2 linked regions of the Danio rerio genome follow. The protein of the gene in region 1 interacts with the protein of each later gene in a pairwise test. Links are inferred from orthologs where the notes say so. Each region holds a gene or a part of one and is shown in the gene's direction. Other genes may lie near its edges. The genes, in order: sh3gl2a and egfl6.

What was found.
Region 2: the proteins of sh3gl2a (region 1) and egfl6 interact in a two-hybrid assay, tested with the Homo sapiens proteins (2 studies listed by BioGRID and IntAct). The link is inferred for Danio rerio from reciprocal best matches to the Homo sapiens genes SH3GL2 and EGFL6.

What each region holds. Positions count from the first base shown.
Region 1 is NC_133176.1:28,369,973-28,386,595, reverse strand, and holds the end of sh3gl2a (SH3 domain containing GRB2 like 2a, endophilin A1), read left to right. Parts: intron 1-6,422; coding exon 6,423-6,541; intron 6,542-6,642; coding exon 6,643-6,839; 3' UTR 6,840-7,467; downstream 7,468-16,623. UniProt on the Homo sapiens protein: Implicated in synaptic vesicle endocytosis. May recruit other proteins to membranes with high curvature. Required for BDNF-dependent dendrite outgrowth.
Region 2 is NC_133184.1:56,883,365-56,900,578, forward strand, and holds part of egfl6 (epidermal growth factor-like protein 6 isoform 1 precursor), read left to right. Parts: intron 1-4,564; exon of another isoform or gene 4,565-4,569; coding exon 4,570-4,676; intron 4,677-7,300; coding exon 7,301-7,393; intron 7,394-9,846; coding exon 9,847-9,966; intron 9,967-11,586; coding exon 11,587-11,706; exon of another isoform or gene 11,707-11,981; intron 11,982-13,385; exon of another isoform or gene 13,386-13,596; coding exon of another isoform or gene 13,597-13,888; coding exon 13,889-14,023; intron 14,024-17,214.

The sequences.
Region 1 (16,623 bases):
AACTTCCACTATGGGGTTTTCGTCAGAAACCAATCATCTGAAACAGTAAAAAATCGCCAGCTGTGGGCCAGTGCTCATATCAGCTGAACAGACTCGGGGTGGAGTCGACATTCTCCCGGGGCAAGGAGCTGCCATGAGAGCCCATCGGCTGCACGGTTGAGCTCGCCGAGAATGTGAACAGCAGGCAGTGACTTCAGCTGCGTATGACTTCAGATGCGTATGTTTCGCCAACTGTATCGCAGAGCCGAGTCTGATCGTACAGATGAGCCATTGCAATGGGCTGGTCCACGGTGAGGCAGCGTGGAGTGGGTGGGCTCGCCTAGCACAGGGGTCCCATGGGATAGAGAGAGACTTGCTCTCGTCTCGCACTCAAATTCCGGATGGAGGGGTTGAAAGAGGGAGAGAAAGGAGACCGTTCTCTCGCCCTCTGTGAGCCATTGGCAAAATGCACCGATCCTGCATAAGTCCCAGACTGGCAGTGTTCGGGCTGTTACATCCATGGAAGGGGAAAAATGCTTTTTCTTTGAGGATTTGATGGCTTTTTTTTATTTTATTTTTTGTCCGTTAAGTGAAGAGCCCCGCCCTCCAGCGGGGAAAGAGCAAATTCCCTCCTCTCCAGATGGCCTGTCTCAGGGATGCTTCGCGGTTCATTTACCAAACTTGGGGCTGGGGGGCTGGTTGCCTGCGAGCCGCTTGGCCTGAGGCATAGGCGGGGTGGTTGAGAAAAAAGCTATAGGCGAGCGCCCTCAGCGAAAAGCAGTGGATGTGGATGGCTCGGTGGGAGGGAGTAGTCTTACGATCCCGCCGATAGATTATATACCCATCGCTTCTGACTGCTCCTTCACCGGTGTGAATTCCTGGTCGAGATCCCCGACGGTGTCACCAAACAGGCCAGCCTGGGATATGGGTGAGTTAAGAGAGCAAACTTTGTCAACATCACACACATCACCAGGTTTAGCCTGAGGTGGCGTTCCTGGCCATTAATGTGACCATCGTCCTTCCCAGGGTGCGGCACTCATCCCCTGTCCTGGGTCGCAACCATCCTCGCGCAGCTGGGCCAGCGCCTGCGCTTGGTTGCACTGGTAGGTGGCAATAGTGTGCAAGGTGAGGGTGAAGGCGCACGCAGCACATTGTGTAAGCCTACTGTGTGCATCCCGGAAGAAGGGTTTCCACACCCCTCTAGTCGGTCTGGCCGCGGGGCTGGGGAATAAACCATCTCCAAAGCCACAGCCGAAACAGCCTGGGGAAGCACGGCTACAAAGTCTGCATCTAGATTTGACACCGCGCTCATCAACCCGGAAGGAGAAGCGGACTCAAATCCTCATCAGATATTGACAACCCACCCTCCAGGGATGGTGAGGATGGAAGCGCATGCAGATCGGCCAGAAAAAAAGTGCCCTCAAAACTGCGTGAGCTTACTGTGCATTTCCGGGAAGAAAGGGACGGAAAGCTTTGAAGGTCTTTCCTCCTTATATCCTCCACATAACACCCATCTAGTCGGTCCGGCCGCAGGGCTGGAAGATAAACCATCACCAGGCCAACGGCCTAAGCAGCTTGGGAAAGCATGGCCATCATATCTGCTTTTTAGATACCAACGCTGTGCTCTCCAACCCGGAGGGAGGGAGCGAGCGGGTTCGCATCCTCATCAGACAATGACAGCCCATCCTCAGATGCAGCGATGGACATATGATCCTCAGTGTCATCAAGTGAGAGAGCGACCATCTGAAGACAGGGCACTTCTCTTCACCTGAAGCTTGGATGGAGCGCGTGGAGGAGCGAGAGGTCTGCAGCCTGAAGGAGGCGAATTTACTCCCACTGTAATCCTCAGATCTGCCAACCGCAGTGTGGGGGGAAACTGGGGTGGGCCTCTCTTTTGCAAGATCTTAACTGTGCAACATACATGACATCACAGTGACGGCATGCACTGCCCGCGAGCACTACATTAACATGCTGGACCCCCAGACATGAAACGCTATGCTTTGCCCATCATCCGGGGATAGGAAACCACCGCATCCAGAAACGCACGGTCGGAGCGATGTCTTGAAAAAGACGTGCTGCAAAACCGTGCTGCTCTTTTAGAAAAGCTTTTTTCCTATACACAAACCACTCTTGGAGGACCGGACCCAAAGAACGCCAGGCAAGGGAGAGAAACCCAGCTCGACTGTCTGCCACTGCGTATACACGCTCTGGACCGGGAGGAGCTGCTTCTCGATCTCTCCTGTAGACACAGGATGGAGATAACCTCAAAGACTCTCTCAGAAGCTTGTGAAATGCTCTGAAAGCAAAAAAAGGATGTCCAGCATTGCACTAGCCGCGTCTTTATATTATGACTGATTGTCATTAACGCCAGCTGTGCAGGCTGACGCCGCCAACTGGCATTTCATTGGCCTGATTTTTTATTTATTTATTTTTTTTTTTACTCTTTCAGATGATTGGTTTCTGACAAAAACTTCATAGTGGAAGTTTCCACATAGCATTGAAGTTCCCCATTCGAAGGGGAAAGTGTTGTTACTTTGCTGCAGTTGATTTTTCTTCTTTTTAGCTCAATACCAAGATGCAATTTAACAATAAAGCAGCTCTACAAACAGCAATGGTTTAGTTTTACAGACTTTTAAATAAGTCTATGTAAGCAACTTTCATGAATATGACTCCAAAACATATTACTGGTCTGCATTATTTTCAGTTTAGACCTCTAAAACAAGCAGTATAGTCTAAGACTATCCCTAATCTTTGTCTGAAAACCCAGAGGGAATGATGCCCTCACCTTGCTTCATTTAGTTCAAGCAGCTTATCTCATAAATTATATATTCAGCAACTGACTGCTAATGCTCTAACATTCACCTTTATCTTTGTTTTATAAAATCTCGAAGTCACTTTGGAAAATGTAATCAAATGTATTTTTTTAACATTGGGTAACGGAATTATCAATCACACATCAACCTCTTTTGCTGAGAAAATCTGAGAATCCTGGCATTTTTGTATGACACGGGAGGAGTTTTTTTTACCCCGCCTGCACTTGACTCTTGCGGCTGTGTTGCATCACATCAGTGTCACATTTTGAGAATGTTGAGTGAAGTTAAAAGTAGTTCCTATTGTATAGCAACAGGGAATGATTTGACTGTAAAATACCCAAAATCTTACTTTGCATTTAGCTTTAATCAGTAATTTTTTTATGTATTTTAGTGACATTTACAAAATAAATATGAAAGCGCTTACAGTAAAATGGAAATATTACCTTTAACACTCAAATGAAGATATTCCTAGTGAAATTTACCCAAAGCTCAGACCATTTAAAACCAGTGTTGGGGTCATGTGAGTTACATTATAATATTACTTTTCTAAGTAACGAGTAAAGTAACAAAATAAAAAGTGATAATATTTGAGTTAATACTTTGAAAATGTAATGCAAGTTACTTTTTAGTTTAATTATTATTATTTTCTTTATAAATTCCTAAATTAAAATGAAAGTAGTCACAATGAATCACAGTCAATGAAAGAATGTTTTTAATATTTTGAACACATGGAAGAAAAAGAAAATGGGATTGTCTCAATGCTAGGGATGTAACGGTATCAGAATTTCACGGTACGGTAATACCTCGGTATGAATGTCACGGTACGGTATTTATTGAATCATTTACAGGAAAAAACAAAACTTGTGAAAATACTCCAAAAAAGTGCCAAAAGTGTCAATGACATACAAATTAGCCATCTATCTGTAAGCTTTGAAACAGGAACTTCAATTTTAAAAACAAAAAATTATTAAACCATGTAAAAAAATAAAGTTTCAATTTAGTATTGTTGAAAACTCATCACATTCAACATTTAACCACACTCAGCCCATCTACCCAGATGAGAGCTCTGCTAGTCGGACTTCTCATCAAGCATCTCCCGCTGGATCTAATCTCACTATATTTATTAAACGTGATATTTCATTCATCTTGTTGTCTTTATCTAACGACATATTCCCTGACTTTGGGCATTGGAATCTATTACTTGTTCTCAGGTAACGTGTTTTGGCTGAGCGCAAAGATAAGTTAATGATTAATGGAAGCTCGTCCATTCTGTATATTGACTGATCACTTGCCTTTATTTCCTATAATGTATAAACTTATTGTATGTTATACTTTTAAAATGGCCATTATCGATTCTTAAAACTGATACTCAGCAAAAGAGAGGCTGTGTTTCGTATTTTCACTGAAATTGAAAGGAGGAAGTGTTGTTATCGGCTCCGTTTTGTTATAAATATGCACACAGTGAAGATGACGCTCATCTTATGCAGCACGACGCCTCAACATGTCTGCTGTCTAAGTTGCTAATATTAAAATGAAAATAGGCAGTTCCTTAAATCATGTTTACATTTTATTGTTGAGAAAGTGAAACAACGAAGCCAGGGTGATGTGAATGAAGTTATAAAGTACACTGTTCCCTTTGAAGATTTACCCGTGTCCTCGGTATAATCTGCTTTTCCATATCAAACTGAGACGAAGAGACTGCAGCCTTGATCAAACTTGCGAAGTGTGAACTTACACGGAGATAATGCAGGACTGAACTGTGCGTGTTAGGCTACTTAATATTCAGGAAAAGCCCCAATCAGAGAGGCGAATGTCTGCAGCCCCGCTTCCGTTTTCAGATGTACATGACAGTTTATAAGTATCACACACCAGACGCGCTCATTCGAATGATATTTAACATGAATCTAATCAGATGGCGCTCTGTGGCGCGGCTGAAAAATGAACTGCGTCCTGAGCCGTCGCCGGGCGCCGCCGACTTGCGGCGCCGGTGTGTGTATCCTGATAGAAACCTATGTTTAGAATTCTAAAATACATGGCGCTGCGTGGCACTGCGCGGCGCGCCGCCGAGCGCCGCTTCTGGTGTGCGACCTGCTTTAGAGTTTTCCAGCTCTTTTCATCCCCGCTTCTAGCAGCACACTCCATTTCCGCATTACTGGATCTGTAGCGACAACAGACCGCAAGGGATGATGGTCAAGCATGGGCTGATGGCAATTGTAGTTTTCGCTACCTCCCGTTCGCTTCATTCGCCTGAGCAAATTTTCTCAGAAGACCTATAGTTTTACCGAGTCATGCGACTTCGGTAATATTGAAAAAAAATAATATTGCGGTATGACGGTATTTACAATACCGTTACATCCCTACTCAATGCACAGTGATTTTACCTAAGACAAATAGTGCAAGTATCAAACACATTGCTTTAAACTTACAGAAATCTGTTTATACACCATGTAGAGTTCTGAGAAGTTCTCAGATATCATTATCCTAAAATATTTGTTTTAATGTTTTTTTTTTTTTAAGTTTTATAAACTAATTTTGAGAGGAGCAGGTGATATGATGGATCACGGCTGGCTTCTCATCCGTAATCAGTAATAATTCAATCAGATTGATAGTAATGCAGCTAGTGACTTGGTAGTCCATAGTCTACAGAACAAACCATCGTTATACAATAACCTTAAATAATTACCCTAACCTTCCTAGTTAACCTAATTAACCTAGTTAAGTCTTAAAATGTCACTTTAAGCTGTACAGAAGTGTCTTGAAAAATATCTAGTAAAATATTATTTACTGTCATCATGGCAAATATAAAATAAATCAGTTATTAGAAAATGAGTAATTATAACTATTATGTTTAGAAATGTGTTGGAAAACATTTCTCTCCATTAAACAGAAATTGGGGAAAAAAATAAACAGGGGTCTAATAATTCAGGGGGGCTAATAATTCTGACTTCAACTGTATATATTAAAGTTAACTAAATCCTTTTATTAATCCAAAATTCTTAAATGCAAGAAATTTTGATTCAGTTACTAATCACTGTTTAACTTGTTAAATGATGTAATCCACTAACATAGTTTAACAAAAACAAAGTTGACATTTTCCACCATTTTGTGCTTTAGTTCACGATTCAAACCTCCAACCAGACATTGCATTATGTCTAATCTATTATTTCATGTGTTGTCATCATTTTTGTTTTTGTTCAAAAGGTGAATGGACAACTGACTGAAATTTCACAACAGACTTGACAAATAGTTAATCTACTATTGGTCTATTACATTTTGTATTTCATTTTGTAATTGATGACAGAAAAAAAAATGTTGTGCCTTAGTGCCTTCAAGCGTTTCCTGCCAGAGTAATTGAAATCACTTGGAGCAAGTCACATGCTTTCTTTATCAGTGCTTTACAGATTGTTCTGCCTTTTTATAAACGATGTAACAGAGTTAGCCAAAATGTAGGGACAGACACAAAATGTATTTTGATTTATTGAATTTACAATGATACAAAAAATATTTTTCATGCAAATGTTTAAATTGTTTTAAAATGTTCTCCCAATTCTAGAATTATAATATTATTAAATAAATAATTAAATGTGTTTCACTAAATTATGAGAACTTCTCCTTCTCTTCTTTTCACAGAATAAGAGAGGCATCTTGTAAGCCAAAAAGAGAGTATGTGCCCAAACCTCGCACCTCTTTGGATTTCAGTGAGAATCACAATGGGAGTATTGGCCACAGTGGTCCTTCTCGGTCACCAGGTAAAGTAATACTATTAATAATTTGAATTTATAAACCTGAGGGTTTTTTTTGTGTGTGTGTGTGTGTGTTTATGCTAAAGAATGTATCTCGTTTGTTTCAGCTCCAATGGACCAGCCTTGCTGTCGGGCACTTTATGATTTTGACCCAGAAAATGAGGGTGAGCTTGGCTTCAAGGAAGGTGACATCATCACCCTAACCAGCAAGATTGACGACAACTGGTATGAAGGAATGGTGAACGGGCAATCTGGCTTCTTCCCCGTCAACTACGTGGATATCCTGGTAGCTTTGCCTCATTAAGTTTCCTGCATGCACCTAACCGTGACCTGACCAATCAAACCAGTTCTTCAACGAGAGCAAAAGTCACCAAAACAAACAGCACAAAATGCTCTGTTATGGTTATTTGCGCATAGAAAATAAGCAGTTATGAGTGCCCTTTCACAAAATACTGTTCCTGACTGGGAATGCCACTATTTTGTTGTATTATTAATTTATTCAATGTATTTTATCTTCTCTTTTTTGAGGTTGATCAGACCTCTGCATTGCCTGCTGCTATGCCTCCTGTATGTTCAGACGTTGTGTGTGTTTTATTCTTTTTTGCCTGTTCCTATTCGCAACAGCAAATCATGATTGGTCTCTTTATCACACCGTTTGAAAAAAGAAAATGTGTAAAATAAAATGTCTCTCATTTATTTTGGTATTATCTAGCGTAATGTATAAGTGAATGATGATGGCAGACAAACATTGAGAGTTGTTTCCTTTCTTCATTACTTTGAAATTGCAATAACTACACAACCAATATCCGTTCACACCTTTAATGGTCATAGAGTGAAATGTTCCACTGTTCGTTTAATGTCCTGCAACTGGTTTTAGCCTTTAAGTGGTGTTAGATTTGACTATTTAAATAGATAAATATTTATCAACAAAGAAAAAAAAAAAAAAAAAAACAAAGATGAGGAAAGTTCTGTGACTCATTTATTTGTTGTGTTACAGTGTATTTTCAGTCACGTAAGATTCTGTATGGCCTATAAATAGCATGGGCCTTTTTCAGCTTTCCATATCACATTCCATAGATGTTAAGCTGGTCACCTAAACACAACCCAAGAACCATTTTATGAAACATTGTATGCGTGTGTACATATATATGAATATAATAATGCCTGAGTGTGGTGATTTCTGAACCCATGAAACTGTGCTTATATTTATTTTATGTTTTTCTTTTCTTGCTTTAGTAATGAAGTGTGTAATTTTTGCGCAAATAAATACAAATGTAAAAGAAATGACGACCATTTTCCACACTCCACCATATGCCATTGAGCCAATAGTGTTTACAGTCAGATCAACAAATAAGAGAAAGTATTTCAGCATTGCAAGAGTTACACACATCATCCCCTTGTTAAATATGAATAAATTTCCGATTGTAAATGATATATAAATATAATGATGTAATATGGTCTAAAAATTCACATACAGATCAATATACATTCTTAAAAAGGTTTAATGTATTATTAAATTTTCCTTTATATATATATATAAGCATAGATTGTATTGACAGGACATTCCAATCTTTTCTGAATTGTGTCATTCTCCTCAATGAGGTCTGTACAGACATTCTTGCGTTTTATTTCCTGTTTGTGTATAGTCATATAACTATAGTACCATGTGTTATTTTTGGATCAGTGTTAAAGATTTATCATTAGATAGAAATCAGGCACTGGAGTGAAACGTGCTGGGGGAGTGTTTATTCGTGAAGCGCTACATATCAACTCCTCTTTAGCATGAATTTTTCAGTGGCTCATCTGAATGAAGCTTGTGCTGAGAACGAAAAAAAAAATGTGCAACTACAATAAATACAACCGTTGAATGATGCATGTGGAGTGTGTGTATTTTGTTTCATAACCAGTAGGGGATGCTGCCACAACACAAACTGAATATTCTGTGTGAAGCTGAAATATCTGTGCATATCAGGCACAGTTTATGTGTGGGTATAATATTATACATTTGGACCCGTTTTATATTGTATACAATATATTTATATTTATATATGTATGTATATATATATATATATATATATATATATATATATATATATATATATATATATATATATATATATATATATATTATATACACACACACACACACACAGTTGAAGTCAGAATTATTAGTGCCCCTGTTTATTTTTTTCCCCAATTTCTATTTAATGGAGGGAAGATTGTTTCAGCACATTTCTAAGCTTAATAGTTTTAAAAACTTCTTTCTAAAAACTGATTTATTTTATCTTTGCCATGATGACAGTAAATAACATTTTACTTCATATTTTTCAAGACACTTCTATACAGCTAAATGTTAAATGTTTAACTAGGCTAATTAGGTTAACTAGGCAGGTTAGGGTAATTAGGCAAGTTATTGTATAACGATGGTTTGCCCTGTAAATTATCGTTAAAAAAAATAGCTTAAAGGGGCTAATAATTTTGTCCCAAAAATGTTTTTTTTTTTAAATAATAACTGCTTTTATTCTATCCGAAATAAAACAAACAAAAAAAAAATTTATTTTTTGGTTTGGTTTGAGCCTTGGCTGGGTCCGGCTTCCCCTACAGTCTAAAGACATGTGGTACAGGTGAATTGAGTATGCTAAAATTGACCGTAGTGTGTGAATGAGTGTATGGAGGTTTTTTATTTACCCATGAAACCCATCAAAATTACCCAGTGATGGGTTGTGGCTTTAAGGGCATCATTTGTTGGCGGTTCATTCTGCTGTGGCGACCCTAGATTAATAAAGGGACTAAGCCGAAAAGAAAATGAATGAAACTATTTCCCAGGTGCTGTTTCCCAGTTTTATTAACTAATTTCTAATAACTAATTTATTTTGTCTTTGCCATGATGACCAAGCGAATATACAGCTTGCTATTAAAAAGCTCAACTGTAATTAGGTGAAGGTTTTTATTATTGTTGTTGTTGTTGTTATTATTGCTTTAATTCCAGCTCAACTAAAAGAAATACGGCTTTTTTCCAGAAGAAAATTTCCTTGTTGTAAACATCACTTGGTAAATGTTTCACAAGGCTAATTATTTTGCCTTTAACTATATGTACATATCAGTCAAAACAACTAATATTATACAAATTGGACCTTGGAAACATCTAATCATTTTTAAATATTATCAGTAAAGTTTGTTTGAAAGCTAGAGATCAGAGATCAAAATGACACTTGAAAAGTAATTGTACTTACTAAGAAATGCTATATTTCATTCTGAAAGAGCAGTTTGAATTAATGATGAGTTTCTTACTGGAAGGAAAAAAAAAGTCATTTAACTACCAGTAATCAAAAGTTATGTTCAGACCAAACATAATCAAAATATTTGTAATAAGCGTGCAAGTTTAAATAAACCATTAAGGTAAAGGTTTTTTAAACATTGGCATTTTTGAACATTACAGTGGCAATACTTTTAAAACAAACATCGTTCAGTCCTTAATGGATAGTGTGAAATGTTTGTTTAATCTCCTAAAACAAATTTAGTATCTCCTGTATGCTTCACGTCAAGCTTTCTTTTTCGAAATTTCAGCATGCTAAGACAAAAAATATATAATATTATTAAATAAATACATTATAAAGTAATAGTGCGTATTCACAGTACTGTGCAAACTCTTTTAGTGTAGTGTATCAGCAGGAAATATCACTTTACATTTCCAATTTTTTTTCTATTAATTGTAATAATCCAGAGAGGTTTTTGATTGCAGAGGGAGTTTGACAGCAAATAGTGCTCCACACTGAGTCCGTCTCATCCAGTCTGACTGGAAAACAATTTAAACACAAATGATGGTTACACCAAATATTGATTTCATTTAGTTAATACAAACTAATTTATATAAATGGATGCATTTAAAAAAAAAAAAAAGAAAAAGCATCGCATTTTTAAACAATTTATTGGACTGCTGTCAGACATTTTCTGCAAACAAAAATCTCACTGGATTGTTGCATTCAAGAGCAAAATGATGTAAACTGATATTTCCTACTGACACACTACTGCAAAAGATAAAAATGTTAATACATCTGAACAGTATTAAATATGTTAGTAAAATTTGGATTTGTACTGTATTATTAGTTATTGAATAACTTTTTTCAAATGTACATATTTGTTTTATTTTATCAAATTTTAATAACATTTCTTTCAAATAAAAAAATGTAACTTAGAGCTGCACTTTTGGTGAGAAAGTGTTCATTTGTTGTGATTAAACTTCAGTATTGTTTAAAAATTGTGACTTCCAAATTCTTCTTAAAACAAACAAACAAAAAAAGTATTGTGTAGCCAAAAAAATAAATAAACAAAACAAATATAAACATGCTTTGGAGGAAACATATTTTAACATATTTAAAAAATGTTTTAATCAAACAGATAACCATAAATTGTAAATTGTAAACAGGGTATTTTTCCATGTGTCCTACAATTGTATTTATAGAGTGATATAAATATTACAATTACATGGGTTCTCACTTTTACTTGTCTAGTAGCCATAGCAGCAATGATGTATGAGCTACAAAAGCAAATTCTTGGCTACAAAACTCTATCAGTTATAACAACAGATTTTGTTAAGTTCATCAGTGAAATATTTTACCACCAACCCCAAGCAAATATAATTGTTTTATATTGTTGTTGTCTACATAGATCAGGGGTGTCCAAACTCAGTCCTGGAGGTACGGTCTAAAAACTTTCTCGCAGATTTTTAGCAAGTTAGAGCTAAACTCTCAAGACAACAGACCTCTATGACTAAGTTTGGCCACCCCTGATCTATAGATCTTGGAAGAGAAAGACTAAAATGACAAAAATGTTTGGGTTTGACCTAACCAGGGCTCATGAAACCAGCACACACAAATAGTGTTCAGTTGTTGATACTAGAGCATATTTAATTCAGCTTTTATAATGCTACATTTTACCCCTGTGGAAACATTTCACCTATCTCAGCATGTCTGAATTGTAACATTTCACTTCTCCTGTTTGAAACTAAACTATGCATTTTCTGTTTGTGCGCAGCAAATATAACATACAGTTAAAGTCAAAATTATTTTTCTTTTTCAAATGTTTCCCAAACGTGTTTAACAAAGCAAGGAATTTTTTCACAGTATTTCCTGTATTGTTTTTTCTTCTGGAGAAAGTCTTGTTTGTTTTTTTTTAGGTAGAATAAAAGCCATTTCAAATAGTTTTTAAAACCATTTTAAGGCCAATGTTATTAGCAATAACTTAAAAAATACCAATTCTTAAGCAATATATATTTTTTAGATTGTCTACAGAAAATAACTATCCTTTTAGATTTGCCTAATTACCCGAAACCTACCAATTAACATATAGTTAAGCCTTTCAATTACACTTTAAGCTGATTAGTCTTTTGAAAAATATCTAATGACATATTATGTATATACTGTAATCATGGCAAAGATAAAACAAATACAAAAAAACAAATCAGTTATTAGAAATTATTCATTCATTCATTTTCTTGTCGGCTTAGTCCCTTTATTAATCTGGGGTCGCCACAGCGGAATGAACCGCCAACTTATCCAGCAAGTTTTTACGCTGCGGATGCCCTTCCAGTCGCAACCCATCTCTGGGAAACATCCACACACTACGGACAATTTAGCCTACCCAATTCACCTGTACCGAATGTCTTTGGGGGAAACCAGAGCACCCGGAGAAAACCCACGCGAACGCAGGGAGAACATGCAAACTCCACACAGAAACACCAACTGAGTCGAGAATCGAACCAGCGACCTTCTTGCTGTGAGGCAAACGTGCTACTCACTGCGCCACTGAGTCGCCTATTAGAAACTAGTTATTAAAAAAAATATTATGTTTAGAAATGTGTTTAAAAAGTATTCTTTCCATTTAATAGAAATTGGAGAGAAAAAAAATATACAGTGGTCTATTAGTTCAAAAGTTTTTGTTTTAGTAGCAGTATTTAGTTTGAATCACATTTTGCATTTTTTTTTAATCTCAACAAGAAAAAAGTTCCCCCATATGCATAAAAAATGAACGAACCCATAAACAAAAACTTTTTGGTTTGATTCCATTTTTGGAACCCCTGGATTTTCCTAAATTAATAGCAGTGAGCAAAAGCTTTGAGCCGATGCTTCTCTACCCCTCAACCTGCGTGTTTGTGTTCCGCCCAGACACTGGCACGCCAGCGATGTGTCACTTCATCCTACAACTGTACTTACAGTCAGCGAGGCATATCACATCCACCCAAGCTCTGCTCCACCCCACTCGCTCTCACGCGCCACAGTGTCAACATTTACCCTGTTCCCAGACTCACTGCGTGTCGGCAAACACACCGAAGACTAACAGTGCGCGTTGCACACACTGTGACTGAAAGTACATATTTATACATTTGCTTGAATTTTATGTTGTGTATTCGGCCTCTAATGTATCTCTGTGTGTTTGTTTGTCTAAGGGATGATGTACAGTCAATCACTATCCCGAAATAAACCCTGACAGGATGATCAATGCCAAAACATTTAGGTCTTGTATGGTTTGCAGAAAAAAAATATTCAGCTTTCATGTTTCTGTGTTTTGCTGTATGGATATGGTCAGTGCAGTACTACTGACCTATAGTGTGCATTACTTAGTCTATCATGAGGAAGGAAGGAAGCAGTTTTTTTATTTATTTTTTTTATATGTCCTCAGGCAGTTTCACTTTAAAACCTAATACTATTATAATATTATAACACCATAATAATTCCATAAATTATTTTGGTAACACTTTGTAGTGAAGTCTTATTCGTTATAAGCTGTTCATTCATTCATTCATTCATTCATTCATTCATTCATTCATTCATTCATTCATTCATTCATTCATTTTCTTTTCGGCTTAGTTCCTTTAGTAATTTGGAGTCACAGCAGTGGAATGAACCGCCAACTTATCGAGCATATGTTTTACGCAGCGGATGCCATTCCAGCTGCAACCCATCTCTGGAAAACATCCATATACACTCATTCACATTCATACACTACAAACAATTTAGCCTACCCAATTCACCTATAGCGCATGTCTTTGGACTGTGGGGGAAACTGAAGCAGTTTAGTTAATAATGCAATACTTAATTTAGTAATGAAAAATAAATCATTTTCTAAGTATGAAAATACAATTATTAAGCACATTATAAATGTGGTTATAAGTCAAGAATAGAGCATTTGTAGCTGCAGTTATAAACTGCTTACTAACGTTTATTAATGTAAAGTTAATGCTTAATGGATAATGAATTCACTATTTGCTAATGCTTAATAAATGATTTATAGTGTGTAGTTACTATAAAGTGTTACCGCGTCTAAAACACATCAGCAAACATGTCAGAAATGCTAATTGGTTTCATGTTAATTGACTACCTTGATGTCAAAATAGCACTTTTTTTTCCTATCTTGATAGCAAAATAGCCTTTTGTCAAAACACACGTAAAAAATCAATTACAGGTCAGTTATGAGTTTTCTGATGCCAATGTTACGTCATTTTTGATGTCGTTTTGACATCAAGGAAGTTCTACATGCATTGTGGGGATACAAAATTCAGTTTAAATTTGTAATTTGTAATTTAATTTTCTTATATAATACTTTTGTTATTTGGTGGTCAAAAGGTCATCAATGTAAGTCAAATAAACATCAGGCATTTTGACATCAAACCGATTTGCCTTTTTTTTTCTTTTTGCATTATTTTTGATGTCGTTTTGATATCAAGGTGCCCGCAGGAAAATCTCTTCTGGACACTTCAAAAAACTTCCAAAGAGTTAAACAGGTCATCAGATTGCATCTCTAATGACTGCAATTAAGACTTTTTCTAAATGTCAGAAATATTTGATGCAGTCTCTGGACGATGCCGAGGATTGGCAGAGTGTGCTAGCCTGTGTTCTTACATGTTTAACTTGCTGGTGTTCTCACATACTTTCTCTTTTGAGCAGCAGGCTGAGCTCTCATCACCAGGCAAGGGCTGATAATTCCTTGTCTTTCAGCTCCCCTCAAAAGAGCTTGTGATTGGAGATGACAAATGAGGCGGTAAGACAGGTCAGACTGCAACAAGCTCAGGTGTGCTAACATGACTGTTAGAGCGTCACGAATGCGCATCGCCAACAATAGTTCGTTTGAAAGCCATATTTCTAAATAAATCTTTTAATATAGATCCTTTTAGATTTCAATTGTTTTTTAAGAATTAGAATAAAAATTGGAAATGCATTTCTGATTTAGCAAAATTGTCCCCTATAACAAGATGTACTCTATTCTCTGTCTGAATAAATAAGCTAAATACTTCTATCTGACAACCATAAAGAGTGCAAAGCAAGAGTTAAATTGGGAGAGAGCAAAACAGCAAGCTAAGGGTGAAGGCCAGAAGTGGCAGTAAGAATGTGTGTGTGGGTGGAAGACTGAGAGACCTCACTGAATATTGTGTCTGCTAAAGTGTACCTGTCTGCTCCACTGCTCGCAAAGTGGGCTTGGAGCCTGTTTAATGAGCAAATGTCCAAACCTGTGTCATGTCTCCAGTCAATCAGGATTTGTGCAGGAATTTAGATAAGGTCTGAAGGTAAACAGTGCACAGAATCTTTTCCCAGTATTCCACAACAATAATCTATGAATATAATTTTCTATGGGTAAAAAGTAACACAAATTTAGAATGATTGCAATTTCACATCAGTATTATTATTATTTTTATTTTTTATTTTTTTTGGTCCCTAGCAATTGTGCACAACAATTCATTAAACAATAAGTAAATTTTGCATTATATTTGACATGCAATAAATATAAATTATCAAATTCCACCTCCCTTTCCATTTAAAATCCAGTTGCTCTTAAGGCATAATAGGTTCATTATATGCATAGTGGAATTTGGAAATATAAAGAAGAAAATCTTCTCTAGAGTAGATTTGTTCAGAAAAAGTCTGTGCACTATTTACACACTTAGCTTCATGTATGTTTGTGTGCTGCTGCATGTAGCTGTGTGTGTAATAAGCAAAGAACTAATGCCCTCATTAAATAACAAAAAATAAGTAAAATCTGGCATAAATAGCATTCAAAAATAGAATTATTTTGTCCCAAATCATAGCATGTTGAAATGAGTGTTTCAAAGAAACCTGGATGACCCACCTATTTCTTGTAAAAAAAAATTGAAGTGCAGATCCCTGCATTCTTTAATGGTTTATATTACCCACAATAAATTGCATGTTAGATGTGAATTTGATTACCAGTACAAACATGGGGGAAAAAAGTTTACAAGGTACAAAAATGGTAAATGTCCAAGACTGATGGTTAGTGGAGAAGCTTTGGTAAAGAAGTTTGAATGTTTGTTAATGACGATCTATGTTACTTTTTCCATGTTGTATTTCATATCCAACAACGTGCAATGTGAATTTTCATAAAGATAGGTCAGGTCATTAACGTCTGACTGCATTATTATGGAAACACCAGAGCCTAGTCTCTTCCAAGTTTTTTTTTTTTTTTTCCTGCACCGTCAATTGGTGAAGGTTTTTTTCCTGTCGCCACTAGCTTGCTTGGATCAGGACTTGTAAAGCTGTGCTTCAGTGGATTCGCTCTACAGTGTTAGAACTTTCAGCAGTGAAGTTTAAACCACACTAAACTAAACTGCGGTTTACCTTTGAAATCTGGACTTTACTACAACTATGTTAAGGTGCTTTGACACAATCTACATTGTGGAAAGCGCAATATAAAAAAACATGAATTGAATTGAATTTTTCTGTATGAAAGACCAGCAAATGAGCAAATTAACCTGCTGACACATCTCCAATAGGTAGGTATTTAAATATGAACAAAAATGTGGATGATGGTACAGGATAACTGACAGAGTGTGTAACGGCCCATAATGTGGAAATTTTACGTATGAATGGCTGCATTGAATTCTTTACAACAAAGTACAATTTTTAGGATGTATATGTATAAGGAGAATTGGGAATCTGTCTTTGGTTTTGTCTGAATAATTCCACACGCTACCAGTTTACCCAATTGTATTTCATCACCTAAGGTTGCCTTAGTAGAAAACACAATAAAAATGCCTATTGCATTTCATTCATAAAGGCTACCTTAATGTGTGTGGCCGT
Region 2 (17,214 bases), on another chromosome or scaffold:
GAACAACAGAATGATGGATAGAGCAATGGATAGAAAGATAGAATGATGGATCGAAGGATAGAGAAATAAATAGAGAGATGGATTGAACAATACAATGATAGAACGGTGGATGGAGAGATGGATAGAACAATACAATGATAGAACAATGGATGTAACAACAGAATGATGGATAGAGCAATGGATGGAAAGATTGAATGATGGATCGAAGGATAGAATGACAGAATGATGTATGGAACAATAGAATGACGGACAGAACGATGGGTAGAACAATAGAATGATGGATAGAATTGGATGGAGGGATAGATAGATAGATAGATAGATAGATAGATAGATAGATAGATAGATAGATAGATAGATAGATAGATAGATAGATAGATAGATAGATAGATAGATAGATGATAGAGAGATAGATAGATAGATAGATAGATAGATAGATAGATAGATAGATAGATAGATAGATAGATAGATAGATAGATAGATAGATAGATAGATAGATAGATAGATAGATAGAGCACTGATAATGAAGCTAGTGCTGCTTAACATCTGCCACTATGGTGATGCATGGACATTTATAGCTCCGCCTTCATTTGCATTTAAAGCGACAGTCACCAAAACATCACTATTAGGATCAATGCCTAAAAGGGTCAGTTTCAAAGAGTTAGTGGAACATTATTTGTGTGTTATTTTGAGCTGAAACTTCACTTTACATGCTCTAGAAACATCAGACTCTTATTTTACATCTTGTTATAAGGGCATAATAGCTCCCCTTTAAAAGTGTCAGTAAATTATTTAAATTAGAGTGTCGAATCAAAACACAATTATTTAAATAGCTGATGGAAATGAGATGTAATAGCTGTTGATTTGTGGCTGTGAGCTTCAGTGCTTGTGCAAATGCTGGTGTTGTTTTGTAAAGTGTTCTGATGAGCAGCTAATTCTGTCTGTAATGAGCGTCTGCCACCTGTTCACATGAGCGGCTCCATTTGCTGGGTGTATTTCAGTCGGTTCACGGATTCACCGCGTCCCTCTGGAGCCCGGGACAGATTTAGAGACTAGCATGAGGAGCGCGCAGAATTACAGACATCTGGATCAATGCGTTCACAAATGCTGATCAATGCAGTTTATATATATATATATATATATATATATATATATATATATATATATATATATATATATATATATATATATATATATATATGTATATATATATATGTATTTTTTTTTATTATTTAAAGGGCACCTAATATGCAAAAATGACTTTTATAAAGGGGTGTATATCCAGTTGTGTGTCAGCATTGTGTGAATATCTCCAGCCTCTAATGATAAACATGAATTAATTGTGTTTGTTATAATCAGACTTGATGAATGAAACACTTTGATTGACATTCTCCCTTTGTATGTGTCATCAGAGGGGGAAAGCCCCGCCCACTAGTGCCCATCTCTTCCTCATTAGCATAAACAACAGCCCTAAGTGAGAAGCAGCTATCACATTTCTGGGTTCCTTTAAAACATTATCTGTTGTGTCCCGGGCTATTTGCATGTGTTAATTTGTTTTGCACAACACAGGCTCATTCTGAAAACGTAGTCCCGCGAACGTTTCTGGAGACTGTGAATTATGTAGCCGGAGGTACATATAGCTGCATTTCATTTGATGAAGCGAACACTACAGGGCGGTATGATGCCGTTCTTTTTGGCGCTTACCGGCTGAACGCTTACCTCCGTGTGGAGGGCTTTCCCGCCGCAACCAGTTTGTCCAGTTAGCTCGCCGTGTATGTCGGCGGAGTTGAGGCGTAGAGAGGAACTGACCAGGGCGACGGGGCCCAGCCAGAGCCCAGATCTAAATTCTATTGAACATTTCTGAAGAGATCTGTACACCATTGCTTCCCATCCAACCTGATAGAGCTTGAGAGGTCCTGCAAAGAGGAATGGGGCAAAAATTCCCAAAGACAGGTGTGCCAAGCTTGTGGCGTCATATTCAAGAAGACTTGAGGCTGGTATCACTGCCAAAGGTGCATCAACACAGTATTGAGCAAAGCCTGTGAAGACTGATGTACATCTTTATTTTACAGCTTTTATATTTTTATTAAATTTGCAACACTTTCAAAAACTCTGTTTTCACAATGTCATTGTGGAGGATTGTGTGTAGAATGTTGAGGAAATAAATGAAAGCTAACGATTCGTTTGTGAAACACTCAACCATAGATATCCCTGCACCTCATTGTGCATGTACACCTCTCTGATCTAAATGGTATATAAAAGTTATAATCTTCAATAATTAAGGGTGGACAGTATGCACATCAAGGCACTGGCACTGTTATGTTACTTTAAAATCTAGTCGTTACTTGTTGTCATATTTCATTTACATTTTTGCTGGTTTTCTTCAACAAATCTAGCATAAGCCTAGTATTATAGTGCAAGTTGGTGTTACTTTGCCTTATGGCCAGTGCAGTAAGCGACTGTATTATCATCAATAACACTGCTTGTTGGCCATAGATATATACACTAGATATCGCATAGGGACCCTGAGCATGCATCAATAGTGCCGCCACATTGGTACAGTGCTCCCAGGACAAATGTCATTCAACCGCACTAGTCAACACAGTTATTACGTGAAGATGCGGGACTTTAGCGCTGTCTACGGGTGTAGTAACGAGCAAACAAAGAAAACAAAGCACAAAGGCAGAACATTTCATAGGTAATATTACGTTTTTTTCTGTTTTTGTTTGTTGTGAACTTTTGTGCTACTCAGGTAACGTTATTGATGATGACAGTCACTGCATTCAGCATACGGCAAAGCAGCTCCAACTCGCACTAAACACTCGGCTTATGCTAGTTTTGTTGAATAAAGTCAGCAAACAATGCAAAAGAAATATGACAACGAGATGCTGCGCTGCCAGAAACTTGTATTATTGTCGGCTAACGTTAGTGAAAGAGTCGTTCGGGGGATTCATTCTTAAACGAATCGCTCCCTCCGTCAGTATGAGAAGTGAAAGCAGGAGAGGAGCTGTGTTTCAGGACATTATTAGATCAGATTTAACAGGGAGGGTGAATAGTACATTTCCATACACACAAACACAAGCTTTTTGTCAGGAATGCCCATGCGGTCACTGATCCATCAATGTAGAAAAGTGATGTAAAATTATAATTTTTGTAATTACAAAAAAAAATGTACATACTAACATCCAGGAAAACTCCCGATCATAGATATATGTGTATATGTGTATATCTCTGGCTTTGGATGGCCACAGTCCTCCACTGTACCTTGGTCCTGCATTCATTTCAAAGGAGCCCTACCCTGTAGCAAGATGGCGGCGCTATTGATGCATTCCGTCCAATAGACAACAATAGGCCCGGCCACATCTAATGTATATCTCTATGCTTGTTGGCAAATTCAATCCAACATACCAGCACAGATCTTTAAAAAACTAAATCTTACCTTTGAAATGTTCTGCCTTTTTACTTGGTATTATTTGTTTGCTCATTACTACACCTGTACGCAGCGCAAAAGTCCAGCATCTTCAGACTGGCATTAGTCTTGAATGCTGATGAGTTTTGTCATGGAAGCCCTGTACCAATATGGTGGCGGTATTGATGCATGCTCAGGGCCTGTATGAGATATCTAATGTACATATTTATGATATCCCTACTATGAATTTACCACCCTGATGTCAAAACTACATCAAGATAATATCGAACATTGGCATCAAAAATCAATTAGATGACAGTCATTTCATGTATGTTTTAGGTATTGTTTTGAAGCTAATGTTTGATCTCAGTTTGTTTTAGCTTCGACATTAAGGAAATCAACAAAAAAATAAATCAACATATGTCATTAGGCATATTTGTTGTGTTTTATTGATGTTTATGATGTTGTTTTGATGACAAGGGCTGCCTTTTAGTCTAATTTTATTTATGTCCTTTACTCGCTAGCTTTGCTGAGCACTGCATGTATATAAAAGACATGTATTTTTACACAAGACATACATGTGATTTGCGTATATTGCCATATATCATATTTCTCTATGGATGGTGTGAAGTGTTCATTGGCTATTTTATATATATAAACCTGTGCTTGCTCTCAGCGACACACTAAACCCTCAGCGCTGTCTTAAAGAAGCTCCTGCTGAAGTGTGATGGCCATGAATAGTACGAGGTGTAATTATAGCAGAAATGTGCTGCGGGAGATTTTATTGGTTCCTGTAAGAGTGTCTGTTAAACACTTAAAGAGCCGTAAAGCAACTGCAGTTAACCCCAAAGGGTCAAAGGTCACCGTAAGGACTACGTTTACCTTCTAATTATGCCTCATTTTTCACCTGAAACAACCTGAGATCTATTTCTCTGTTCACACACACAATTAAAATGCAGACAGACAAACACACACTCACACACAAGCACATGCATGGACAGCCATGCATACACAAACACGCACACATACAAACACATGACACAAAAAGTGAAGCATGGTCTACATCTTAATATTAGTATTTATTTATATTTCATCTAAATGCATTACTATAAATCCCCCATCGGTGTGTTAAACTGAGGGTGTCCTTATTGTTTCCCCCACAGACAGCGGCGGCAGATCTCCGTCATGAGTGGGCTGGGTGTGTGTCGATACGGCAGCCGGTTGGAGTGCTGCTACGGCTGGAAGAAAAACACTAAAGGACAATGTGAAGGTGATTTAGCAGATAAAAGCAGATCTACAATAAGATTGCTATTACATTTAGTGAATCTCCTTTTTCTGTGTGTGTGTATATATATATATATTCAGATTCCCTTAAATTTTTGACTCTTTGTTATATTGCCGCTGTTTGCTAATTATTTTAGTTAATTATTTTGTACACACAGCAGCCCATACTGACAGAAAAACACTGAATTGTTGACAAATGAAAGTTTAAATCAAGCACAGTTAACCCAGATAGCATATGAATGTGGGCCACTTTAGGCAGTCATGCAGCACTGGTGGTATTCATTCAGTGAGCCTGAACCCACAAAGCAAAATTTCTCTGGCCCAGCTCTGGCCCACACAATCAGGTTTTGCTTGGCCCACATGCTGCAGTGAATTACGGTACATGACTGGACCAAATCTGGCTTCCAGACAAGGGCCAAACACGGACCATATCTGGGCCAAGTCTCAGCCAAGTTAATAACTCATAACTGGGCCTGAACTGGGCCAGATAGGTTGGTGTGTCACGGTTGCAATGAAATTGATAAACCTATGGAGTGATGCGCTTTAGGCACACTATGGGCACGCTTTTTCTCAAAGTGACCTGATTGGTAGATTTTTTTTTTTTCTTTACTCAAAAATTATTTTGGTGTATTTTAAATGTGGGTCAAGACTAGCCAAACTCACATGGCCCACTTATCAAATTTTTAAATCTGCGCCAAATACTACGTTTTTCATCTGGCCCAAATCTTGTGTGCCGCCTTAAAGACGGTGCCACCTCTGCCAAACCCGGGCCATGTTTGGCCCACATGCTGTATGTCAGTGGTGGATGAATGCCTGCTGTGCCAGCTTTTTGCCAAATCTGGGCCAGAATTCTTTGCTACTAGGGAAGTGGCCCCCATGTACAATAGCAAATAAATGGGCCATTTAAGGCAACAATTTGGCACTTATGGCATAATGTAATCTGAATCTAAGCCATCATTGCCAATCAACTGCCATCATTCCAATCAGCATGTGGTCCAGTCCAGATGTAAGTGTCTGTTGTGGGCCGGATCTGGGACAGAAAAAAAGCAAACTGTGGCCCAGAATAGGGTCAGATCTGGTTCATTTGGTTGAATTCTGGCCAATACGTGGTACTGCTTTGGCTTATTGGTGGGCCAGATCTGACAAACAGGAACAGACCGCTCTAGAGCCATCATTTCATTCAGTATGTGGTCCAGATGTAAGTGTATGGTGTGGGCCAGATCTGGGACAGAATAAAAGCAAACTGTGGCCCAGAATAGGGTCAGTTCTGATTAATTTGGTTAAATTCTGGCTGATATGAGGTATTGATATGGCTTGATTGTGGCCCAGATCTGGCAAACAGGAGCGGACCGCCCAAGTGCCATTATTCCATGCGGTATGTGGCCCGGATGTAAGTGTCTGGTGCGGGCCGGATCTGGGCCAGAACAAAAGCAAACTGTGGCCCAGAATAGGGTCAGTTCAGGTTCATTTGGTTGAATTCTGGCCAATATGTGGTACTGCTTTGGCTTATTGGTGGCCCAGATCTGACAAACAGGAGCGGACCAGCCTAGAGCCATCATTCTATTCAGTATGTGGTCCAGATGTAAGTGTATGACGTGGGCCGGATCTGGACCAGAACAAAAGCAAACTGTGGCCCAGAATAGGGTCAGTTCTGGTTCATTTGGTTGAAATCTGGCCAATACAAGGTACTGCTTTGGCTTATTGGTGGCCCAGATCTGACAAACAGGAGCGGACCGCTCTAGTGCCATCATTCCATGCGGTATGTGGCCCGGATGTAAGTGTCTGGTGCGGGCCGGATCAGGGACAGAATAAAAGCAAACTGTGGCCCAGAATAGGGTCAGTTCAGGTTCATTTGGCTGAATTCTGGCCAATATGTGGTACTGCTTTGGCTTATTGGTGGCCCAGATCTGACAAACAGGAGCAGACTGCTCTAGATCCATCATTCTATTAAGTATGTGGTCCAGATGTAAGTGTCTGGTGTGGGCCGGATCTGGGACAGAATAAAAGCAAACTGTGGCCCAGAATAGGGTCAGTTCTGGTTAATTTGGTTAAATTCTGGCTGATATGAGGTATTGGTATGGCTTGATTGTGGCACAGATCTGGCAAAAAGGAGCGGATCGCCCAAGTGCCACCATTCCATGTAGTTTGTGGGCCGGATGTAAGTGTCTGGTGCGGGCTGGATTTGAGCCACATGAATTTTGCTAGCTGGGAACCTACACTACATACTACTTTTCATTTCGTTTTACACTTGAACAACTAAATAAATGCTGAAGTCTGTTTAACTGATTGCATTTTAATTACAGTACAACATCGACGCTTTGAAAGAAACCTTATCAAATTGAAGATATTCACATTATCCGTTCACCAGAAGTTTATCACTAGGGGAAAAACACTAGCTGTGAATATACCCTATTTTCATTCAAAACATGGAAACACTGGGCTTTACTTTCCATCCACAAACTTTTCTGATACACATTGCTTGTTCTGCGGTCTGAGCTCTGAGGGGGATTGTGGGACATGAGCTGCCGTTGTTTTCCAGACGTGTGTGGTTTTGTGAACAGATTTGACCTCCGCTGTTTTCTTCATTAATATTTCGGCATGTTTTTCCAGCTCAGTGTGATCTGGGCTGCAAACACGGCGAGTGTGTCGGCCCCAACAAATGCAAGTGTTTTCCTGGATACACTGGAAAGACCTGCAGCCAAGGTTTGTGTGTCTCAACTGTTTATTTATTTACAATATACGCTATTAGACACTGCACTGTAAAACATATGGGTTGATGAACAGATTCTGTATTTAGTGATGCACAAGTGTTTATTTAGGAGGTGTCACAGTGCTCATTCAGTAAAGGCACAGCTAAACAGATGTGTTTCAGTCTGGATGTGAATGTGCCTAATGTTGGAGCACATCTGATCATTTATGGAAGCTGACTCCAGTGGCAATATTAGCACAGTAACATCCTATTCACAAGGGGCTTCAGCATCAACGCTTGACAGAGGGCGTGTCTGAAGTTGGGGCTGATGCGATCGTCATAGCAGCGTCAGCCAATGAAATTTGTCAGCAATAGGCCACTGTCTAATCTGGTGTATTTGCATAAAGCGATCTGATTGGCTGAAGCTTCCGTCGGCGCTTGAAAAGTTAAGCTAGTCCCAACTTCTGCAGCGAGCAACGCCACTGAAGCGGCGCTGATGGATCCACAATGCAGTTCGGCAACGCCTGACGTCACCCATTTAAAGAGAATGGAAAGCGTTGACGCTGACGCCCCGTGTGAATGGTAAGGTCTGACTTTGCTTAGACAAAAGTGTCATCACTGAACAGAAATAATGTCCAGTATAGAATATAAAGTCCTGCTGCAGTGGAGACAGAATGAATATTGTGTCTGACTCCATCATGAGCTTGGAGGACTGCATCCATACATCTCTGACAGACTCACATCACTGATTAATAAAGTCATCTGGAATGGCAAAGATAACGGCAAAGATGGCAAAGATAGATGAATGGCTCAACCTTCATCTTACCCCAGACATGCTCAATAATGTTCATGTCTGGTGACTGGGTTGGCCAATCCTAAAGTACATGGTCTTCTTTGCTTTCAGGAGCTTTGATTAAAAAATTGACTAAGCCGGATAGAAAATGAATGAATGAATGAATGAACGAACGTACAAACGAACGAACGAATGAATAAATGAATGAACGAACGAATGAATGAATGAATACTATGGAAGTCAATGGCTACCAGTTTCCAACATTCTTCAAAATATCTTTTTTTCCATGTTCAACAAAAGAATCAGGTTTGTGAATGCTCAAAAACTTTGGGTGATCTATCATTTTAATGCCTTTTAATCTGTTCTGTATGTCTATAAACACTGTAAAAATATTTGTAAATGATCAAAAATCAAAATGATACTTTGAATAAAAACATGAATCACGAAACACGGAAAACTGATCATTTACAAATATTTTTTACAGTGTTTATGGACATACAGGACAGGTTAAAAGGCATTAAAGTGGTAGTTCACCCAATTTATTTTTTTATTTACTCACCATTCACAAACCTGATTCTTTCTTCTGTTGAACACGGGAGAAGATATTTTGAAGAATGTTGCAAACTGGTAGCCATTGACTTCCATAGTATTCATTCATTTATTTTCTATCCGGCTTAGTCGCTTTTTTTAATCAGGGGTCACCACAGCGGAATGAACCACCAACTATTCCAGCATATGTTTTACGCAGCGGATGCCCTTCCAGCTGCAACCCATCACTGGGAAACACCCATACACACTCATTCACTATGCACAAATTAGATTACCCAATTCCTCTATTGCGCATGTGTTTGGATGTGGGGGAAACCAGAGCACCCGAAAGAAACCCACACCAACACGGGGAGAACATGCAAACTCCACACAGAAATGCCAACTGACCCAGCTGAGACTCGAACCAGCAACCTTCTTGCTGTGAGCCGACAGCACTACCTACTGCGCCACAGTGCAGCCGACATTTACTACCATAGTAATAATTCATTCATTTTCTTTTCGGCTTAGTCCCTTTATTAATCCAGCGTCGCCACAGCGGAATGAACCACCAACTTATCCAGGATATGTTTTGCGCAGCGGATGCCCTTCCAGCTGCAACCTGGTACTGGGAAACACCCAGACACACTCATTCACACACTCATACACTACGGCCAATTTAGTTAATCAATTCCCCTATAGCGCATGTGTTTGGGCTGTGGGGGAAACCGGAGCACCCAGAGGAAACCCACACCAACACGGGGAGAACATGCAAACTCCACACAGAAATGACAACTGACCAAGCAGGCACTCGAACCAGCAACCTTCTTGCTGTGCGGCCAAAGTGCTAACCACTAAGCTACCTTGCTGCCATCAAATAAAAAGCTATTATACAGACATAGTTAACCTGCATTATAGCGATGTCTATGAGTACATGCTTATTAAAGTGTTTGTGTGTTGTGATTTGAGAAACGGGATGTAATGATAATGTGTAATAATAAAGAAACGCTACGCTCTGTTAAACATGGAGAGATCATTTTTGCAAAATGTCTGTGACTGAAATGTACATTTGTTAATTGTGTATTTTAAATGTTATAAAACACGGAAGGATTTTAAAATACACTCTCTCTCACTCTCTCTCTCCTTCAGATCTGAATGAGTGTGGTCTGAAGCCTCGTCCCTGTGAGCATCGCTGTATGAACACATTCGGCAGCTATATGTGCTACTGCTTAAACGGCTACATGCTAATGCCTGATGGATCCTGTGCAAGTGAGTGACCACGATATATCCAGAGAAATGTTCACTTATTCATTCATTTTCGGTTTAGTCCCTTTATTAATCCGGGGTCGCCACAGCAGGATGAACCTCCAACTTATCCAGCACGTTTTTTACGAGCGGATGCCCTTTCAGCCGCAACCCATCTCTGGGAAACAGAGGAATGTTTACATACACAATATATCGTTTCAGCATGGATATTACAATGTGTGCATCCGCAATAGTCACATCTCAGGATCTGCAATGTTGAATAGCCATTATAGTTGACCAGGAGCCACAGTTCAGAAACATGAGATCTGTAAAAACATGAGATAAAGGAGCAAATCTTTGTCATTTGCAAGTGTTTTTAAGGCCTGTGACTGCATACTGAGAGAGTTTAAAGCATCCAGGCACAAGGAATAATGATATTTGTAACTTTAATCTAAAATATTTTATCAACTTATTCACACAACGAAGATTATGCAGTGCTATTTCCAACCCAGGCTCATTCTGAAAACGTAGTCCCATGGACATATCTGGAGGCCGCGAAATACGTCCCGGGAGGTATGTATTTGTGCAGTTTTGTTGCGCGAATTTGGGGCCGCTGTGTGTGCTTTTTCACATCTCCAACATCTCTCGCGAGTGCCGTTCATGCCCGCGCTGTTCTCGCATAAACCCATCGTAAGCCGCTGTCAGGTGACTGTCTGTCCGACTGACTAAATGATTGACTGGGCGACAGGCCAATCGGCCGACCCACCCTCCTCCTCCTTCTTCCCTAAACCCAACCGGTTTTACCGATTGACCCGCCCGCCCGATTGCTTCCCTAAACCCAAGCAACGATTTACAAAAGCCGTCCAGAAAAAGAAAAGCCCTCGTCTGATTTTTACCACGTTTTCGGATTTCACCACATTCTCACCCTGTTATGAACTTGTTCACTTTATCTTTTGGATTCTGTCCAAAAAAGTCTTTCTTCGAAATCTTACCTGATTTCTGGAACCGCTCTTCCCTGGACTCGAACCCGGTCATCGTTGTTAGCTCCTCTCTACATCTCAAGTCCACCGACGTACACGACGAGCTAACTTGACAAACTTGTAGAGGTGGGAAAGCCTTCCACACGGAGGTAAGCAGTCAGCCGGCGAGCGCGAAAAGGACACATACCGCCCCGTAGTGTTTGCTTAATCCAGGGGTGACCAATCTCAGTCCTGGAGGGCCGGTGTCCCTGCAGGGTTTAGCTCCAACTTGCCTCAACACACCTGCCTGGATGTTTCAAGTATACCTAATAAGACCTTGATTAGTTTGGTGACCACTGGCCTAATCAAATGAAATGCAGCCATACATACCTCCGGCTACATAAATCACGGCCTCCAGAAACGTCCGCGGGACTACTTTTTCAGAATGAGCTTGGGTTGGTTGTGTCACATCTGTTTATTTAAATTCTGCACCTGAATTCTTACCATATAGAGCTATTTAGGCCATGTGTTGAAATTGTATTGCATTGTTTTGAATTGAAACTGTACAGCCCTAATGAGCTGTTACACTGTGTGTGTCTGTCTGTCTGTCTGTCTATCTGTCTGTCTGTCTGTCTGTCTGTCTGTCTGTCTGTCTGTCTGTCTGCCTGTCTGTCTGTCATTGCAGACTCCAGGACGTGCTCTCTGGCTCACTGTCAGTACGGCTGTGAGGAGGTGCAGTCTGAGGTTCGCTGTCTCTGTCCATCCCCTGGCCTTCAGCTCGGGTCTGATGGAAAGACCTGCGAGGGTGAGAACTGAAATGAAAACATTCATTCATTCATTCATTGATCTCCTTCAGCTTAGTCCAAGGGTGTCCAAACTCGGTCCTGAAGGTCCGGTGTCCTTTATCTTTTAGCTTCAACCCCAATTAAACACACCTGAACCAGCTAATCAAGCTCTTTCTAGGTATACTAGAAACTTCCAGGGAGGTGTGTTGAAGGAGGTTGGAGCTAAACTATGCAGGACACGGGCCCTCCTGGACCGAGTTTGGACACCCCTAGCTTAGTCCCTTTATTCATCAGGGCCCAGTTTTTCAAAAGTAATCCACTAGGATTTTGGATAAGGGATTGGATCAAATCTTGAAAATGGGTTTTTCAAAAGAAAAAACGGATTACGTAATCGGATTAGATCACATAATCCAATCTTTGTTTTGATCCGGATCAAACCTTTAGTTTGGGTTTTTCAGACCTTTTTTGTAGGATTTGGATCACTTTGATCCAAAAAACCTGGATTAAACTGATCCCATCAGAAGGGTGGATTTAGCGTGGATTTCATGCCCAAAATGTGATGAAAACTTCAAAAAATTATTAAATAAAACTACATTTGGATCATGCAGTATCTTACGAGATATACAATTTATTCATAAGGTTTTAATTTTATTTGTTCATCTGTCAGGCTATAGTGATTATAGGCTTTAACGTATTCAGCCTTTCAGTATAGGCCTACAGCAAAGTAGAAAGAGTTTGGCCTCATAAAATAATCCCCCAAACAGCTGTCAAAATTTACCAAAAACAATACATTTTATTATGTTACTAATTGATATATAGTCCAAGGAATATATATATATATATATATATATATATATATATATATATATATATATATATATATATATATATATATATATATATACATATATATAGATACACACACACACACACATATTCATCACAATGGAAAATATTTTTGTGTTTAGAATATTTATTAGTGATGCATGCAATGATTAGAGAATAACAAAAAAAATGCAAAGAATGGCAATGCCTGATTTTTGAAATCACTTTGAACAATTGCAAAAAGAGACTGAAAGGGCAGAAGTTCAGCTTTATCTGGCAGAGGAACAACTGACTCTGACCAAACTGCAGCAAACCAAGACCACACTTGAGATCTGCCTCCTAAAGAATACGCTCAGACAAGCTGCTCCCTCCACATCAGATGAGGAAGTCTGACATTATTGTGGAGGTTTCAACATTGTCTTTTTTTATTCAATACATCTATATTTGAAACTTATTATAAATATCCTCAATGTACAGTGTTGTAGGTCTCAGATGAGCGGACTGCTGGAAGAGGATGGAGTGGGGTTTTTCTTGCTTTTATTATTTATTATTATAATTATTTTATTGTTTATAAAATGTTCTTAGTTTTCATTTCAAATAAAAATAAAGTTATATTGACCCCACACTGGCTATTCTACTTGTTGCTCTTTACATAGGCCTATCTATCCATCTACATTGTGATTGAGCACTGGTAATCCAGATTTAGTGGTCCTAAAAAGTTCCTATCCGGATCAGATTGATCCAATCCAATGTTGCTTTGAAAAACTGGCTCAAAAAGTAAACTGGATTACGTGATCACGAATCGCAAAAACAGGATTACTAAATCCGTATCAATTTTATCCGGATTAAACCTTTTAAAAAAAAACGGGCCCAGAGGCACAGTGGAATGAGCGCACATATGAGCGCAAATGCATTTGCTATTTAAACAGCGTGGCGGAAAACATCAAAACGACTCTTGCGCCAAGCTGAAACTAGCAAACAACTATTGCGTTGTGCCTTGCGCCACATTGTGCCAAGTGTATGATAGGGCACTCTTTCACACACACACTAATACACTACGGCCAATTTAGTTAATCAATTTCCCTATGGCACATGTGTTTGGACTGTGGGGGAAACCGGAGCACCAGGAGGAAACCCATGGCAACACTGGGAGAACATGCAAACTCCACACAGAATCGCCAACTTACCCAGCTGAAACTCGAATCAGCAACCTTCTTGCTGTGAGGCCACAGTGCAAACCACTGAGCCACAGTGCCTCCCAGCTAGTAAACAAGAACAAAAAAAACTCTGAACTCATTGGTCATATCAAGCTCTGTGATCTAATAACAGTGAATGTTCTCCATGCACTCTTCTTGTTGTCCTCTTTCTCTTTCGCAGACATTGATGAATGTGCGACTGGGAAAAACCAGTGTCCGTTTAACCGGCAGTGCACAAACACATTCGGCAGCTACTACTGCAAGTGTCAGCCAGGATACGACCTCAAATACATCAATGGAAAATACGACTGCGTTGGTGAGAAGAATGCAACTGTGTGTACAACCTGCTGTAATGACCGACTATACACTATTATAAAAACAACTGTCCACCTTAGATTGAGCTAGTACGAGTTATTAAAGATGATGTGTGCTTTTGTCAAAGAAAGTCATCATAAAAATGGCCAAATTACTGGTAAAGAAGTAAACTACCCTAAAAATATCCATTAATGAAGTAATGAGTCTTGCATTTAGTGTTGATGCTAAAGAATCAGTGTAAAAAACATTCAATTCAAGTTTATTTGTATAACGCTTTTCACAATTAGTCTTCCGTGTCCCTGTGCTATTTAAAATGTATTTGTTTTATTTTGGGACTCTTCTAGAATAGTTTTATGTGTATTCAAGATCAAAATCACTTTAATTTAGAAGTGTACAGTCTCTGAAATGTTTGGTTCAACGATCTGGTTGCTCTAAACCCGCCTTCTTAGGAAGCATACTCTGCTCTGATTGGTCAGGTGGTACTTGTCTACTCTGATTGATCAGATGGCACCAGTTTACTCTGATTGCTTAGATGAGACTAGTCTGCTCTGATTGGTCAGCTGACAATCAGCTGTTCTGATTTGGTCAGATATCTTAAGTATCTTCTGATTGGTCAGATATCACAAGTTTCCTCTGATTGGTCAGATGAGACTAGTCTGTTCTGATTAGCCAGATGACACTAGGCTGTTCTGATTAGTCAGATATCCCAAGTCTACTCTGATTGGTAAGATGAGACTAGCCTGCTCTGATTGGTCAGATGACACTAGTTTGCTATGATTGGTCAGATGGCACTAGTCAACTTTAATTGCTCAGATAAAACTCTGATCTGATTGGCCAGATAGCACTATTCTGTTCTAATTGGCCAGATGACACTAAGCTGTTTTGATTGGTCAGATGAGACTAATCTATTCTGATTGGTCAGATGACAATAGTCTTTTCTAATTGGTCAGATATTACAAGTCTACTCTGATTATTCAGATGGCAGTAGTCAACTCTGATTGGTCAGATGACACGAGTCTGTTCTGATTGGTCAGATAGCACAAGTATTTTCTGAATGGTCAGATGACAATAGTCAGCTCTGATTGGTCAGATGACAATAGTTTGCTCTGATTGGTCAGATGACAATAATCTGCTCTGATTGGTCAGATGACATTATTCTGCTCTGATTGGGCAGATGACAGTAGTCTTTTCTAATTGGTCAGATATTACAAGTCTACTCTGATTGGTCAGATGGTACAAGTCTGCTCTGACTGGCCAGATGAGACTAGTGTGCTCTGATTGGTCAGATGGTACTAGTCAACACTGATTGGTCAGATGAGACGAGTCTGTTCGTATTCGTCAGATAGCACAAATATTTTCTGATTGGTCAGATGACAATAGTCTGCTCTAATTGGTCAGATGACAATAGTCTGCTCTAATTGGGCAGATGACACTAGTTTTTCTAATTAGTCAGATGACATTATTCTGCTCTGATTGGTCAGATGACAGTAGTCTTTTCTAATTGGTCAGATATTACAAGTCTACTCTGATTGGTCAGATGGCACAAGTCTGCTCTGACTGGCCAGATGAGACTAGTGTGCTCTGATTGGTCAGATGGCACTAGTCAACTCTGATTGGTCAGATGAGACGAGTCTGTTCTGATTGGTCAGATAGCACAAGTATTTTCTGATTGGTCAGATGACAATAGTCTGCTCTGATTGGTCAGATGACAATAGTTTGCTCTGATTGGTCAGATGACAATAGTCTGCTCTAATTGGGCAGATGACACTAGTTTTTCTAATTAGTCAGATGACACTATTCTGCTCTGATTGGTCGGATGACAGTAGTCTTTTCTAATTGGTCAGATATTACAAGTCTACTCTGATTGGTCAGATAGCACAAGTATTTTCTGAATGGTCAGATGACAATAGTCTGTTCTGATTGGTCAGATGACAATAGTTTGCTCTGATTGGTCAGATGACAATAGTCTGCTCTGATTGGGCAGATGACACTAGTTTTTCTAATTAGTCAGATGACATTATTCTGCTCTGATTGGTCAGATGACAGTAGTCTTTTCTAATTGGTCAGATATTACAAGTCTACTCTGATTGGTCAGATGGCACAAGTCTGCTCTGACTGGCCAGATGAGACTAGTGTGCTCTGATTGGTCAGATGGCACTAGTCAACTCTGATTGGTCAGATGAGACGAGTCTGTTCTTATTGGTCAGATAGCACAAGTATTTTCTGATTGGTCAGATGACAATAGTCTGCTCTGATTGGTCAGATGACAATAGTTTGCTCTGATTGGTCAGATGACAATAGTCTGCTCTGATTGGGCAGATGACACTAGTTTTTCTAATTAGTCAGATGACATTATTCTGCTATGATTGGTCAGATGACAGTAGTCTTTTCTAATTGGTCAGATATTACAAGTCTACTCTGATTGGTCAGATGGCACAAGTCTGCTCTGACTGGCCAGATGAGACTAGTGTGCTCTGATCTGTCAGATGGCACTAGTCAACTCTGATTGGTCAGATGAGACGAGTCTGCTCTAATTGGTCAGATAGCACAAGTATTTTCTGAATGGTCAGATGACAATAGTCTGCTCTGATTGGTCAGATGACAATAGTTTGCTCTGATTGGTCAGATGACAATAGTCTGCTCTGATTGGTCAGATGACAATAGTCTGCTCTGATTGGGCAGATGACAGTAGTTGAATTGAATTGAATTGAATTGAATTGAATTGAATTGAATTGAATTGAATCTGAATTGAATTGAATTGAATCTGAATTGAATTGAATTGAGTCTGTTCTGATTGGTCAGATAGCACAAGTATTTTCTGAATGGTCAGATGACATTAGTTTTTCTAATTAGTCAGATGACATTATTCTGCTCTGATTGGTCAGATGACAGTAGTCTTTTCTAATTGGTCAGATATTACAAGTCAACTCTGATTGGTCAGATGAGACGAGTCTGTTCTGATTGGTCAGATAGCACAAGTATTTTCTGAATAGTCAGATGACACTAGTTTTTCTAATTAGTCAGATGACATTATTCTGCTCTGATTGGTCAGATGACAGTAGTCTTTTCTATATAGATATCTATATCTATATTGATGCAGAGTTATCAAATTATAGAGATATCACAAGTCTGCTAGATAGATTTTATATTTCAGTTTGTTGTGATTGGCTGAAACCCAACCCTCATGTAAAT